3 linked regions of the Drosophila melanogaster genome follow. The gene in region 1 interacts genetically with each later gene. Each region holds a gene or a part of one and is shown in the gene's direction. Other genes may lie near its edges.

What was found. A genetic interaction does not mean that the proteins touch.
Region 2: of Thor (region 1) and Pink1, changing one suppresses a phenotype caused by changing the other (phenotypic suppression), as found in Drosophila melanogaster (3 studies listed by BioGRID).
Region 3: of Thor (region 1) and Lrrk, extra expression of one rescues a mutant of the other (dosage rescue), as found in Drosophila melanogaster (2 studies listed by BioGRID, with this or other methods).

What each region holds. Positions count from the first base shown.
Region 1 is NT_033779.5:3,476,494-3,480,281, forward strand, and holds Thor (thor), read left to right. Parts: upstream 1-1,940; 5' UTR 1,941-2,122; coding exon 2,123-2,267; intron 2,268-2,691; coding exon 2,692-2,900; 3' UTR 2,901-3,119; downstream 3,120-3,788. UniProt on the Drosophila melanogaster protein: Repressor of translation initiation that regulates eIF4E1 activity by preventing its assembly into the eIF4F complex. Hypophosphorylated form competes with eIF4G1 and strongly binds to eIF4E1, leading to repress translation.
Region 2 is NC_004354.4:6,681,950-6,688,028, forward strand, and holds Pink1 (PTEN-induced putative kinase 1), read left to right. Parts: upstream 1-1,891; 5' UTR 1,892-2,121; exon of another isoform or gene 2,122-2,178; 5' UTR 2,179-2,512; intron 2,513-2,568; 5' UTR 2,569-2,607; coding exon 2,608-2,772; intron 2,773-2,836; coding exon 2,837-3,622; intron 3,623-3,685; coding exon 3,686-4,699; intron 4,700-4,763; coding exon 4,764-4,964; 3' UTR 4,965-5,089; downstream 5,090-6,079. Other genes in the region: Fum2 (fumarase 2), read left to right, coding at 21-185, 270-473, 557-1,361, 1,422-1,681; CG44303 (uncharacterized protein), read right to left, coding at 5,090-5,353, 5,414-5,416; CG3184 (uncharacterized protein), read right to left, coding at 5,721-6,079.
Region 3 is NT_033777.3:20,633,941-20,638,705, forward strand, and holds the start of Lrrk (Leucine-rich repeat kinase), read left to right. Parts: upstream 1-1,539; 5' UTR 1,540-1,697; coding exon 1,698-1,716; intron 1,717-1,875; coding exon 1,876-2,148; intron 2,149-2,158; exon of another isoform or gene 2,159-2,247; coding exon of another isoform or gene 2,248-2,335; intron 2,336-2,400; coding exon 2,401-2,560; intron 2,561-2,622; coding exon 2,623-3,882; intron 3,883-3,938; coding exon 3,939-4,765.

The sequences.
Region 1 (3,788 bases):
TACCTGTCCCCCGGCGGATGGGAAAAACACCCCTCGGCGCTTAGAGAACCGGCTAGGAATATCTCAAGACGCATTTTAACTTGGCTGCAACGCAGTAGGAAAACTGCCTGCCGTCTCTTTCCTCGCGGCTATAGGCCTGTCTCTCTCTCTTTGCGCAGGTACATCATATTGTATCTGATGAAAACGAAAGCAAAATCCGAACTGGTTTCTTCGAGGGTTGATAAGCCCTAATGGAGGTGGAAAATGCGGAGAAGAGCCGCTCTCTCACCCAAAAAATAAAATATATAAACATATCAGCCGGCACGTAGGGCGGTTTCTATGCTGTGGACTACGTGCTAGATGACACGGCAAAATTGTCCGTGTTTTTCGTGTTCTGGCTCCCTTGTTTACCGTTTACTACTTTGGGGGTCAGTTGGCACCCAGCTAACTCCCACCCCCATCTAGTGTAATTGATGGATTTGGGTCATGCTTTCCCCAATTCAAATATGCTCCTCGTCACATGGAAATCTACTTTCAAGGTCTGTCAAGCTTCCCCATTTAGCCATCATAAATATTAGCACGCTTAAGTATCGACCTTGTGCAGATTTCTAGGTGGGCGCCATCCCCTGTCCCACATCGAGATCATGATCGCCGCAGATCAACACACGTGGCCACCTTTTGTCAACCCCATATCCCTCGGAATGGCCCGTGGCCAATATCCGAATTACGTCGAATCGTGGGCGCCAACGTAGGCAAAAGTTCCTGTAGCACTATTTACATGCGTCCAACGATTAAATATCGTCAACATCGCCCCCGCATAGCTAAAACCGCTCGTGCCGCTGCTTGGATCCACCCTATGCTTGCTGCGATCAGTGGGGCATATTAGTTTGATTCCAAACAAGATATTCCACCTCAAAGAACTTGGGAACTAATAAGGGTTCGATCACCAAATTTGGTGATATGATATATGTATTTCTTTAGATATGTGCGCTAATATTAAACGGCTAAGAAGTCAATGTGCCAAAGAAAAGATATTAAATATGTATGTTTCATATCAGTCAAGTTAAATTTTGATATGAGCTAAGCGTACTTTTGGATTGTGCACTCCTAAATATAGAAATCACGCTAAAATTGCATATCTAAGTAAATAAAGCAAGTAAGTTATGTAAGACGTGTATCTTTTCGTGATAATTATTTCAAAACGGCTCGTGCCAGATAATAATGAACACTTTCCGCCTGAAAAAAAGTGAAATGCTGGGTATCTTTTAGCCCATAAAAACCTGCAATATCGTTGCTCAAATTGCTATGCTCCGCGAGTTCGCACATGCATAGAAGGCACTCATAGCCTACGTCACGATTGCCGGCGACGTGTCTTTATGCTAATTAATGGTATTTCGCGAAAACGAGTGCAAAATAATGGCCCCATGGAGAGAGCGGCAGTACTTCACGAAATTCTGCGGAACACCTCTTGACTCCCAGACAGCCATAGATAAGATCCCAATTGCACCTGAGTCATCATCATTTCCCTAGCAAGATCGACAATAGACTTGGTTTTTAGAAAAGAATGCGATTGGCGTTTAGTGCTGTTGGCTAACTTGTTTACCAATAATATTGCCGTGCATTAAACAATAACAAATGACCAAAGATAAACAAGAGCTCAAGGCGAGAAGCCCCTCAAGACAGCCCCCCACCATCGCTACACCCCTTATCATCTAGAACCTCCGAGGTGTGCAGGCTGCAACAAAAATAAGAACAATAGGGGAATATATTAGAATACGGCAATAACAACAAGAACCAGCCGGTTTGTCATAAACTACGCAGAAAATACACCAGATAAAAACAAAAAACATCAGCCGACCAAGCAGAATAATCAGGCGAGAGAGCAGGCGAAAGAGCGAGAAGAGAGCGAGAGAGAGTAAGAATGGGGGGGTATAAATAGAGCCACACTTCGTAATACCGCCAGCAATCGCCTAGCGAACAGCCAACGGTGAACACATAGCAGCCACACAAGCTCTATAGCTGATACAAGCAACGAAATACAAACAACGCAGTTTGTGTAAACAATCAAATTGTCGCAGCCATATCGAGTGTGCTTACACGTCCAGCGGAAAGTTTTCGAAACCAATCCAATCAATCAGCTAAGATGTCCGCTTCACCCACCGCCCGTCAAGCCATCACCCAGGCCCTGCCCATGATCACCAGGAAGGTTGTCATCTCGGATCCGATCCAGATGCCCGAGGTGTACTCCTCGACGCCCGGCGGAACCCTCTACTCCACCACTCCTGGAGGTAAGTTTCGAAAATTGGAAGCTGAGACTACATCGAGTATTATTAAGTTCCTTCCGGAAAGTGGAGTGATTTTCTTATCATTAGATATGATATCAAGATGAAATTAATCAACATATTTCGAAAACATAAACAAGTATACCGTTTCTTTCCTTTGCTCAAACAACAAACAAGCTTTTGTTTGAGTTGTGATACATTATTTTTGTAAAACTCACTCACCATTTTTTGGCTGATGAAACTGGGCCATCTCGCCGAGTCAGTCAGTTGGAAGATAATCCCGAGCACATGTTCCACAGTTCGTGACTCAGAGTAGCGCGGCAAAGAAGCGTTTACTCAGCTGGCTTATCAGTGGGGAACTTTGAATACCTTTCTGATGCAACGCAGACCACCTTGACTAATAAAAATTTCCGCTTTCCTATAATTCCAGGCACCAAACTTATCTACGAGCGGGCTTTCATGAAGAATCTCCGTGGCTCCCCATTGAGCCAAACTCCGCCGTCCAACGTGCCCAGTTGCTTGCTGAGGGGAACTCCGCGTACTCCCTTCCGCAAGTGCGTGCCCGTCCCCACGGAACTGATCAAGCAGACCAAGTCGCTGAAGATTGAGGACCAGGAACAGTTCCAACTGGATCTGTAGGGGGTGTGGCGTGTACACCGCCATGCAGCAACTGCCAAATCCAACTAGTTCTTAGATGCACCCACTAAAACCGATCTTATAAGCTTAGTGTACCCATTAACTAGATGCTAAGTTCTTAGTTCTTCCACCTTGTTTGTTCTCTCGGTCATATTGACCCCGTTACCTTGTAAAATCGTAGATCTTAAGTAAAATGCAATAAAAAAAAGGCACACATTATTTAAAAGAGAACCACACCTTCCATTGGGATTCAGTAGCTGCCAATTTACAATTATAAATTTTAATTTATGTTTGAGAAATTCAGTGCCAAATTACTTTCTTTATCGGCAATTCAACCTTGGCAGGCCACGCGTTATGTGATAGAACACTTTCCACTTCACCTTGAGTCAGTTTCGGTTTAGTAGTATTTTCGGCAGTTTGTTGAACTGTTTGAACTGTTTACGAAGAAATTTAGCGAAAGGGGGCTTTTTGGGGGGCGGTACACATGTTAGACAGCTGGAAATACCGGCCGGCTTTTTAGTTAGCCAGTCAGTCAGTGGCCCCAGCAGCGCGTGTCCCACTTATTGCAAAGATATGCATACATATTTATAATGTATCCAAAAACCGGCAAACAAACGCCACAAAAAAATAGATCTTTAAGAAACTGCGCAGTTGGGAAACGACCTCGCCTTTGGCCCCCGCCCCGCCCTTTACCATTTTTCTTATATATACAAAAGTAGTGTGCTGAGCACATGTTCGTTCAGATAGACCGATCCCTTGTGGTCCAACAACTACATCCGACTACACTCGACTAATCCCGGCACGTTCCAGACCCATTTGAATATTGCGCATGAATAATTACCTAATCGCAAAAAGTGTTTGCTCGACAAAGATTTAGCATCGCAGTGCAAA
Region 2 (6,079 bases), on another chromosome or scaffold:
TACATGGGGCATCTTTGCAGTGCGACAGTGGCGGTAAGGGCGGCAAGGGCAAGGAGAATGGCAAGTTTCGTACGGAGAAGGACACCTTCGGGGAGCTAAAGGTGCCGGCGGACAAGCTGTACGGCGCACAGACGATGCGCTCCAAATTGAATTTTCCCATTGGCGACATAGGCGAACGTATGCCGGTAGGCAACCAACCAACCAACCAACATATTCTGGCATCTACCAAGTGCTTTGCCATAGCCAATTAATCCCCAAACTGCCCGCAGATGCCGGTGATCCAGGCCATGGGCATACTGAAGAAGGCATGTGCCGAGGTCAACAAGGATTACGGACTAGATGGCAAGGTGTCGGATGCCGTATCCTGCGCCTGCGACGATGTCATTTCCGGCAAGCTATACAAACAGGGTCACTTCCCATTGGTCATCTGGCAAACCGGTTCGGGCACCCAGACCAATATGAACACCAACGAGGTAAGATTGTTAGATAGGGCTAACGAGAGAAATGTGTATAGCTGGATGCTTCTCCTGCCCCATGCCATTGGCAAACCTACTAGGTGATCAGCAATGCGGCCATTAAGATGATGGGCGGCGAACTGGGCAGCAAGAAGCCGGTGCATCCCAACGATCATGTGAACAAGTCGCAGAGCTCCAACGACACCTTCCCCACGGCCATTCACATTTCGGTGGGCATGGAGCTGAACGAGCGGCTTGTTCCGGCGGTTACACACTTGAGGGATGCCCTCAAGTCCAAGTCGGATGAGTTCAAGGACATCATCAAGATCGGACGCACCCACTTGATGGACGCAGTTCCGCTGACTTTGGGCCAGGAATTCAGCGGTTATACACAGCAGTTGACCAACGGTCTGGAAAGGATCAAGGGCTGTCTGCCGCGCGTCTATGAGCTGGCTCTGGGCGGCACTGCTGTGGGTACGGGTCTGAACACACGCAAGGGATTCGCCGAGAAGGTGGCCAAGCGCATTTCGGAGCTAACCTGCTTGCCCTTCGTGTCGGCGCCCAACAAGTTCGAGGCACTGGCTGCCCGCGATGCCATGGTGGAGGTGCATGGTGTGCTCAACACGATCGCCGTCAGCCTGATGAAGATCGCCAACGATATCCGATTGCTGGGATCGGGTCCGCGTTGCGGTCTGGGCGAACTAATGCTGCCGGAGAACGAGCCCGGTAGCTCCATCATGCCCGGCAAGGTGAATCCCACGCAATGCGAATCAATGACCATGCTGTGTGCCCAGGTGATGGGCAATCAGGTGGCGGTGACCATCGGCGGCTCCAACGGGCACTTCGAGCTAAATGTATTCAAACCCCTGGTCGTGTCCAATGTGCTGCGCTCCATTCGCTTGTTGGGTGAGTCGGAAATGTGTTTTCCAAGTGGAAAAACATGCATACATAACCTTCTCCTCCCAGCTGATGGCAGCATGACCTTCAGCAAGAACTGCGTGGAGGGACTGCAGGCCAACAAGGAGAGGATCGACAAGATCATGAACGAGTCCTTGATGCTGGTGACCGCGCTGAATCCGCACATTGGCTATGACAAGGCCGCCCTGATCGCCAAGACGGCGCACAAGAATAAGACGACCTTGAAGGAGGAGGCACTGAAGACCGGAATTACCGAAGAGCAGTTCAAGGAGTGGGTCAATCCCAAGGAGATGCTGGGACCGAAGTGATTCGCTGTGCGGCTATTGACGATTTTGTTTTAGTTTCGTGTAATAAATTTTTGTGTGTAGCAGGATATTTCAATAGATTGTATTAATTTGTTGATTTTACGGCAGGTGAATAACGGTTTTTAGTTTTTGAATTCTCCAAATGATTCGAGTCCACACTACGCGATAGTCATTATCGATTCTAAAGATATACCGTAAGTGTGGTCACACTAACGCCTTGCTGTTTCTAAATTATTCCGTTGTTTTTATCGTAAATTCTTGCACACTTAGCTATTATTTTATAGCGAAATATAAGCAAAGCAAGCTTTTAAACAAGTGTTTATTGCGGCGCACATTTTCCGTGACAAATGAAAAGATCCAGCTGACCAGCGATTATCTAACGACCAAATCGAATCGAAACGAAACGTTGAAGTAGGCGCATTACATTAAAAATTGGCTGCCAGGCAAGTTGGAGGTCGTAAATTAATCGTTTTGTTCAGTTGAAAATAGCCCAAAATCAGTCTAGCCCACACAGATATCGAAAAAGGCGATATATCTTTGGATAATCATTGCAAAAATAAACCCTTTCGATTCGACGATTTCGCCTTGTAGTTCTGCCACCACCGCCCCCACACTTCGCCCCGCAGCTGCACCACAACCACCACCACCCACAAACAGAAAATTTATTTGCGACGCAAAAACAAAACAATCGAATCGAAACGAACCGAACCGAAACGAAACGACAGCAGCTGTTTGGTTATAAATCGGCGCTATCGATCGCACACATGAGCAAAATTGGCGGAGAAGAAGAGGAAGCAGCAGCAAGAGTTAAGCACCACAAATCTTAAAGAATAGGTAAAAATTAAAAATTAAATTAATAGATGACAGACCGTTTAAGGTGCTTCATTCAGTTGCAGGCACTAGGAGCCGAGGTCTTTGCGGGCCGAAAGATGTCTGTGAGACTGCTGACCGTGCGACTGATCAAACATGGTCGCTACATTTTGCGCAGCTATTGTAAACGTGATATACACGCCAACATTTTGGACCAGAATCAATTGAAGACAAGAAGCAAGCGAGGCTTTCCCCTACCCTCCACCGCTGCCAATGTGCTGCGGGTAAGTCAAGCTAAACGGATGATCAAGGCATGTCCAATTAACCCGCATCCAATCTCTTCGCCAGACAACGCCCCAGCAGGCGGCCAAATCGGTGGTCAATGTAGTGCCCCGCACCATCAACTCCCCGTCGGGATCACCGTTTAATGGCAGCGGCAGTAGCCCCACCAGCAGCAGTGGAATCTTCCGAGTGGGCCAGCATGCGCGCAAATTGTTCATCGACAACATCCTCAGCCGGGTGACCACCACCTACTCGGAGGATCTGCGCCAGCGCGCTACCCGCAAGCTATTCTTTGGCGATTCAGCGCCCTTCTTCGCCCTGATTGGCGTTAGTCTGGCCTCCGGATCGGGTGTGCTCAGCAAGGAGGATGAACTGGAGGGCGTGTGCTGGGAGATTCGGGAGGCAGCTAGCCGGCTGCAGAACGCCTGGAATCACGACGAGATCTCCGATACGCTAGACAGCAAGTTCACCATCGATGACTTGGAAATCGGTCCGCCCATAGCCAAAGGTTGTGCCGCTGTCGTCTATGCAGCGGATTTCAAGAAAGATGTTGCCTCGGATGGTGCATCCCTGCATACCGATGCGCAGCCGCAGGCAACGCCAGCCTTTGCGCCGAATAGCTGGAGTACCCACGAGATGATGTCGCCGCTGCAGAACATGTCGCGCTTTGTTCACAACTTTGGCGGCTCTGTGGACAACGTCTTCCACTACAGCCAGCCATCTGCGGCCAGTGATTTCGTGGGCGCCCAGTCGAGGGAACAGGACCAGCGGCACCACGAGCAACAGCAGCATCAGAATCAGGAACAAGAGCAGCATCAGAACCAGGAGCCCAGCAGCAGTGCCTTCAATGTGGTAAATATGTAAGCTTAAATCTGCATGGCAACTTGCCATCACGCTCTTTGCTTTAACTTGCAGACTTCTCCAGCGAATTCAAACATCAACAGCTCTGTGGACAGTTATCCACTGGCACTCAAAATGATGTTCAACTACGACATCCAGAGCAACGCTCTGTCCATACTGCGTGCCATGTACAAGGAGACGGTACCGGCACGCCAGCGCGGCATGAATGAGGCCGCCGATGAGTGGGAACGTTTGCTGCAGAATCAAACTGTTCACCTGCCGCGGCATCCGAACATTGTCTGTATGTTTGGCTTCTTTTGCGACGAGGTGCGCAACTTTCCCGATGGCCATCTCCTGTATCCGGTGGCGCAGCCGCAACGCATCAATCCACAGGGCTATGGCCGCAATATGTCGCTGTATCTGCTGATGAAACGCTACGATCACAGTCTTCGCGGCCTGCTCGATAGCCAGGATCTGAGCACGCGCAATCGCATCCTGCTGCTGGCTCAAATGCTCGAGGCTGTCAACCATTTGAGCCGTCACGGCGTTGCCCATCGTGACCTAAAGTCTGATAATGTGCTAATCGAGCTGCAGGACGATGCGGCGCCGGTGCTAGTGCTCTCCGACTTTGGCTGTTGTCTGGCGGACAAGGTGCATGGCCTGCGCCTGCCGTACGTTTCGCACGACGTCGACAAGGGCGGCAATGCGGCGTTGATGGCGCCAGAGATCTTCAATACGATGCCCGGTCCGTTTGCCGTACTCAATTATGGCAAGGCCGATCTGTGGGCTTGCGGTGCCCTGGCTTACGAAATCTTTGGCAACCGCAATCCGTTCTATTCGAGCAGCGGTGGGATGGCGCGCGAACGCGGTGAGATGACGCTTTCGCTGAGGAACAGCGATTACCGACAGGACCAATTGCCGCCAATGAGCGATGCTTGCCCGCCGCTGCTGCAACAGCTGGTCTACAACATCCTCAATCCCAACCCGTCCAAGCGGGTCAGTCCGGATATTGCGGCAAATGTGGTGCAGCTGTTCCTCTGGGCCCCATCCAATTGGCTTAAGGCGGGCGGCATGCCCAACAGTCCGGAGGTGGGTCGCAGTGTTTGATACCACATCAGCATCCTTTTAAGCTAATTATGATTTTTTTTTACAGATCCTACAGTGGCTCCTTTCGCTGACCACTAAGATTATGTGCGAGGGTCGTCCACAGATGGGCGCCGGATTGATGCCAGTGGCCAGCTGTGGCAATAGGCGCGCCTATGTGGAGTACCTGCTCATATGCAGCTTTCTGGCACGCGCCCGGCTGCGTCGCATTCGCGGCGCCCTCAACTGGATCCAGAATGTGGTGGCGTAGGAGAAAAGCCTTCTACTTGTTACTCTGAGAAAATCAAATGGAAAAGCGTGTGATACCTATATTTTACATATGTATTTATAAATGAAATCAAAATTAACGCCAAAAGCACGCCTCCGGTACAATAATTATTGACCCTCCTGATCTTTCTGATTCTTCAGCTTCTGCATTTTCGCCACCAGCGCCTCCTGTTTGACCAAACTCCTGTCGAGCTTTTCCATCACCTGCCTGATCATAATTTGGAGTTCCGCAAGATGTTTCTCCCAGGCCACATTCTGCTCCTCCAGCTCGATAAGCTTATAGAGATTGGCCTCGTTTGAGTCTTCGATGTTGTCTATAGCCTGATCCAGGCTATCCTCGGCGTCCAACTTGTTTGGATTTTGTGGGGGATGCTGTGCGGAGTAGAATGAGGAGTTTATAAAGTTAGCAGGATCTCTACGTTTAGTACTTACCATAACTAAACAGTTCAAGTTCATTCACTTCTCTGAATTCGCAAACTTCGAATGAAAATGCGCTGACAGAACTTACGATAACCGCACCAGGGCTGAGCCGATTGCATGCGTTATCGATATCGCCTGCCAGGGATGTTGGCAGTTTAAAATTAGTTTTGGAAAACTTAGGATATCCCAAATGCCATGAACAATTCTGTTTTTTCCGCAAACTATTATACAAACTATAGATAGTTGAAAAACATAAGCCAGCAAATGTTTATTTTTCTTTTAGTTTTTAGTCACATAACATAATATACAGATATCGAATTCATTTGTTAATATCCACGCGACTCACACACAACGTGTGATCATAAAAGGAGCAAGTGGCCATGGTCAAGGACGCATCGTCCTTGTTTCTCCATGGTGCCCAATCGGCCCCGTAGCAGATGCTCTTATGCTCCTCATAGGCGCCCAGTAAACTCAGGCCAGGTGCCGCGACATCCAGCTGCACCACGCTAAAGTTGGTGTACATGCAGGCGGCCAGGATGAGATCGGGCTGGGCAGGATGCGGCTTCAGCCTCCAGATGCCTCCGCTCAAGTCCAGTTCCGCCAGTGATCGCTTCATCGATCTGGTGTCGAAGAGACGCAACTGCTCATCATAGCTACCCGTGAGCAGATGGTTTTCGT
Region 3 (4,765 bases), on another chromosome or scaffold:
CCACATGGGATAAAATAGAAAAGCAGCCTCTAAAATCGTCGGTTCTTGTTAATTAAAACAAAAACGCTGACTTTTATTTAGTATGAATCACACAGTCATAAGTTGTTGGCTGGGGGTGGGAGGGGTCAACTTGAAAACAAAAACAAGAATTCAGGGTCAGCCAAGGCGACCTATGAATGCCCTTACGTGTTTTTTTTTGCAATTTTAGGCAGTTGAATGACTGAAGTAAGCAGGATTTATAACGAATTCGATATGGCCGTTGAAAGAAAAGTTTCCATAATGAAAATCTAAGCCATTAAGGCATATTTCAGAGCCAAATGTTCAAATTCCGTGACCGAACGGGTGGAGTTGATACCGCGGAAAGGGTATAAAAAAGTTACGCGGCACCGATGTCTCATCTCTAAGTCGCGATGCCACAAAAATGGAAATTGCAGACAGTCAGAAAAGTCTTGAAAAGCACACGGATTGGCAAGTTTTCATCGAAGTTTCACTTGCATTGTGGCGCAGCTCGTTTGTTTTTGTTTTTTGCTTCCATTTTGGCCAGCCCTCGCCTTTATAGCGATTTTTTTTTGGGTGTGAGCTGCGCAGTTTACGCTGCTCCTTACTTGATTCTCTGCACCGGCACCTTCAGTTGGCCTCTGTCGGCCATTCCGCGGTATTGTTATTTTTCAAACGCACCGTGCAATCGGCTCAAATTTGTGTTCGATTAAGGAATATTAAATTGTTTTTATTTGTATTGTTGAGATCGTGCTGTTAAGCGTCTGTTAACGAACACAGGGTGACTCCTGTTGAACACAGGGCGTTCTAGGCTGGCGCTGGTTAATATCGATAGTGTTTCATTCGATTGTTATATCGATATAGGTTACAGTTGGCATCAGTATTTATAAAATATACACAAATACACGGTGCTAATAAATTCTTGTTCGTAAACAGTCATAACAGGAAATTGCATGTTAAAAAAAAAATAAATAAAAATAATTAACAGTTCCTAAGAATCAAATTCTTTTAGATAAAATCATAGCATACAAAATAAAATTCAACAAAAAGTAACAGTCGATAGTGATTCACTGCTTAACTGATTTAAATAATATCGATATTACTGTTGTTGAGTTGACAAGCAGTGCAAAGTAACAGAAACGATGACCACCTTATCGCGTTTTGGTATTTATATATGTATGCTATCAGAAATGAGATATTTCAGCATCAGTTGGGATTTCAAATATTTCACTTGGGAACAAATTTTTAGATGTGTATGAATAAAAATAATAAATGCGTCTTCCAAATACTTGTTCGGCCTTGTTAAATTAATTTTAATTTATAAATTTAAGCCAATGGACATAAAAATCAATGATTTTGGGTAGATTATGATTTAGTTATTAAGCTGGCTTTAATCTTTGGAGAAAAGTACGAAGCCCCCTGCGTGCGACACTGATTAACAGCATTCACTTGCGATATTTCGGTCACACAGAGCGCTTAACAGCATATCGTGCCAAAATGAGGAGATATATTCTAAAACAGTAAGAGGTTACACTGTTTGTTGACAAAAAGGTAAACAAAGTGAAAATTTCGCAAAATGTGCAAAATAATTAAGTAAGGGTCAGTAAAAGGTGCTACTGGTTAATCGGACCATAACAACTACCCATTTAACACATACCATGCATGACTTGGATATCTCGTGAAGTACACAAACCAAAACAATGAGCGACTCCGACGAAGGTGAGATAACACAACTTTTAGTGAAATTATGCACAATATGCTAGTTTTGCGCAAATTTAGTCAGAGTGCAAATGAGCATTATACGCTTGACTATGCAAATTACCTAAGTGGTGCAATTAAAACTTCAACCAGTTGTTATTGGTTTTTCAACAACACCAGCAAGGGCACAGGGTGACATTGGTGCAATGGAAGTGGGCGCGCAAAAACTTTTTTCAAACAGCCACCCCCCACAGAAGCAACTGGTGCAACCACTGGACCATCCGACACCCACGAAGAGACAAATCAAAACAAATGCCACGCACTCACCCAATGCCACATTCTTGAACAAGTGCAACAGTTGCCGCGCTTCTTGGGCTCCGACTTGCGCAGTGCGACATAAAACGGCCTGGATCAATGACCACAAAAACGTGGCCATCGATTTTCCGCAGTTCAGTTTTTGCTAGCGGCGCGTTCGGTCATCATACCGATGCCAATTAATTTTTGGGGCTTATTCGCACCGATTTGGGTTACATAATGTCATGGAAATTCAGCATGGAACATCCCAAAACTGGAACTGAAACAGCTCTGGAAGCCTGTGACTACTTCGTGGATGAGGTCATTGAGGCATCCTCAATACGGGGTGGGAATTGGTTTATTCCAAAGGTGCTGTGTATTAGTTAACCAAGCAAAACTTATCTTTCACAGATGCCCGCGAGGAAGTGCGTCAGATCAAGCACGGGGAGCTGCGAACGGCAGTGATCTCTGGCGATGAGCGGACTGTGCGGGTGCTGCTGGCAGCTCTTGGAACTGAGCGTCAGATTATAGTCAATATGGCTCCTTCAGGAGCAAACACCCTTCTATTCCTGTGAGAAAAAGTCTTTTAGAATTAGTCCATTTTGAGCCAAACTAATATCGGTCTCGTTTTAGAGCCTGCCAGTCTGGTTACGAGAGCATTACACAGCGATTGCTGGATGCTGGAGCGGATGGTCGCTCCCATGCCGTGACCAAGTACTCACCCTTGTACGCCGCCGTCCATAGCGGTCACTTGGGCATTGCCCGACTGATGCTAGACCATTTTCCAGAACTGATCCAGCAGCCGACTGTAGAGCGCTGGCTGCCGCTGCACGCCGCCTGCATCAATGGACACATCAAGCTGCTGGAACTCCTTATCAGCTACAGTTATCCCGACTACCTCTACCAGACATATCGCGACGAGGAGGGCCAGTGGGAATGGCGGCTCCCCTTCGACGCTAACGCTCATGATGTGACGGGTCAGACGAGTCTGTATATTGCCAGCATCCTAGGAAACAAGCAGCTGGTTGGTGTGCTTCTAAAGTGGCAGCTCCATTGCCGGCGTACGTTGGGCGATTCCGCCAGCTCGGTGAGCACTCCTATTACGCCCACCAGGAAACGTATTTCATTTGGCATTCAGGCTATCATGTCCAAACTGCACATATCTGGAGAGTCAGAAGGACCCGACGACCTAGCTTCACAAGAGTCAACCGAGTGCCAACGGTGTCCCATTAACGTGAATCTGCTATGTGGAGCGGCGAGAGAAACAGCTCTGCTTGCGGCCGTTCGAGGCGGCCACCTAGACGTGGTGCAGTCTCTGCTACAGCACGGCGCAAATCCGAATATTGTAGCCAAGCCAGTTGAGGATCACAACGACCCGAAATGTTGCGAGGAAATATATGGGCTCAGTAATGTCCCCATTGCAGAGGCCTGCAAGCAAAGGTCGCTGGCTATGTTGGATCTCTTGCTTAAGCATGGAGCCCGCGACGATAATGGCACGGCCATTGGAATGGCTATTACATGCGGCGACGAGGCCATCCTGAGTCGTCTTTTGGCCCGACGAGTCCATCCGGACTCAGACTACAAGATCAACAAGAAGGGTCTTCCCACACCAGTGGAGGTGAACGTGTTTTTGCCGTCCACCAGCAACATATCTTACAGTGCTATGTTCCCCAACAATCCAACCATTATTGACTGGCACAGCATGGGCTCCAGTGTCCAGTTGTCTGTTGTAAGGGTTCCCTGGATGGTCAGCGGTGTGTTGCTGCTGAATCCTAAGCTACAGTCGCATCCGCGACTTAATGAGGTTGCTCTGACAGCTATCACGCGAATAGATTTCTCGCACAACGTTCTCACGTCAATTCCACAGGAGCTTTTCCATTTGGTTAGCCTAAGGTTAGTAAAGACAAAGTAATAAGTTTTTCAAGAATTATATTAGTCCTTCATTTAAGGTATTTAAATGTGGCGCAAAACAAGATAACCGATCTACCTGCACCAATAGGCCAGACATATGGGTGTCCGGTACTGGATGAACTCTTTCTACAAGACAACCAGTTAACTACGCTGCCAGCCGCCATCTTTCACCTGCCCGCCCTATCTATATTGGATGTTTCAAATAACAAACTGCAACAGCTTCCCTTCGACCTGTGGCGTGCACCCAAGTTGCGCGAACTTAATGTGGCCTTCAACCTATTGCGGGATCTTCCTGTGCCGCCAATGCAAACTAGCAGTTCGCTGCTGAGCCTAGACAAATTGAATCTGCAATCTTTTGAGGAGCCGCCATCAAACAAACCGCGAAATGTGACTCAGCAACGTCTCACCCATCGCAATCTATGGTCGGCTACTTTGGACATAACCGATAATGACATGAAGTGGCAGCATGAACAAGATTTAGGCGATGGAAAGACAGCTGGTGTGGGCTCCTCCCAGCTAAGTAGCTTAAATATAGCAAATAACCTCTTCACCAGTATCCCCGCTGCTTTGCCCTGTCTGGCTGTAAACCTAACACGGCTGAATATGTCATACAACAGTCTGCGTTCTATGGGACATGTAACCAGTTACCCGGCAACACTTAAGCAGTTGGATCTAAGTCACAACGAGATATCCTGCTGGCCAAGTTTACCGCGAATTACTGAATCGGATCCGCATCTACTGTGCTACAGTTGTGTCCAGCTACCAGAGGGTCGAGATGACGACTACAAGACGGCCTCCTCAAAGGGCAGTAGCTCGTCTGCCACATCGTTTCGCGCTTCGGTGTTAAAAAGTGTTTGTCGGCACA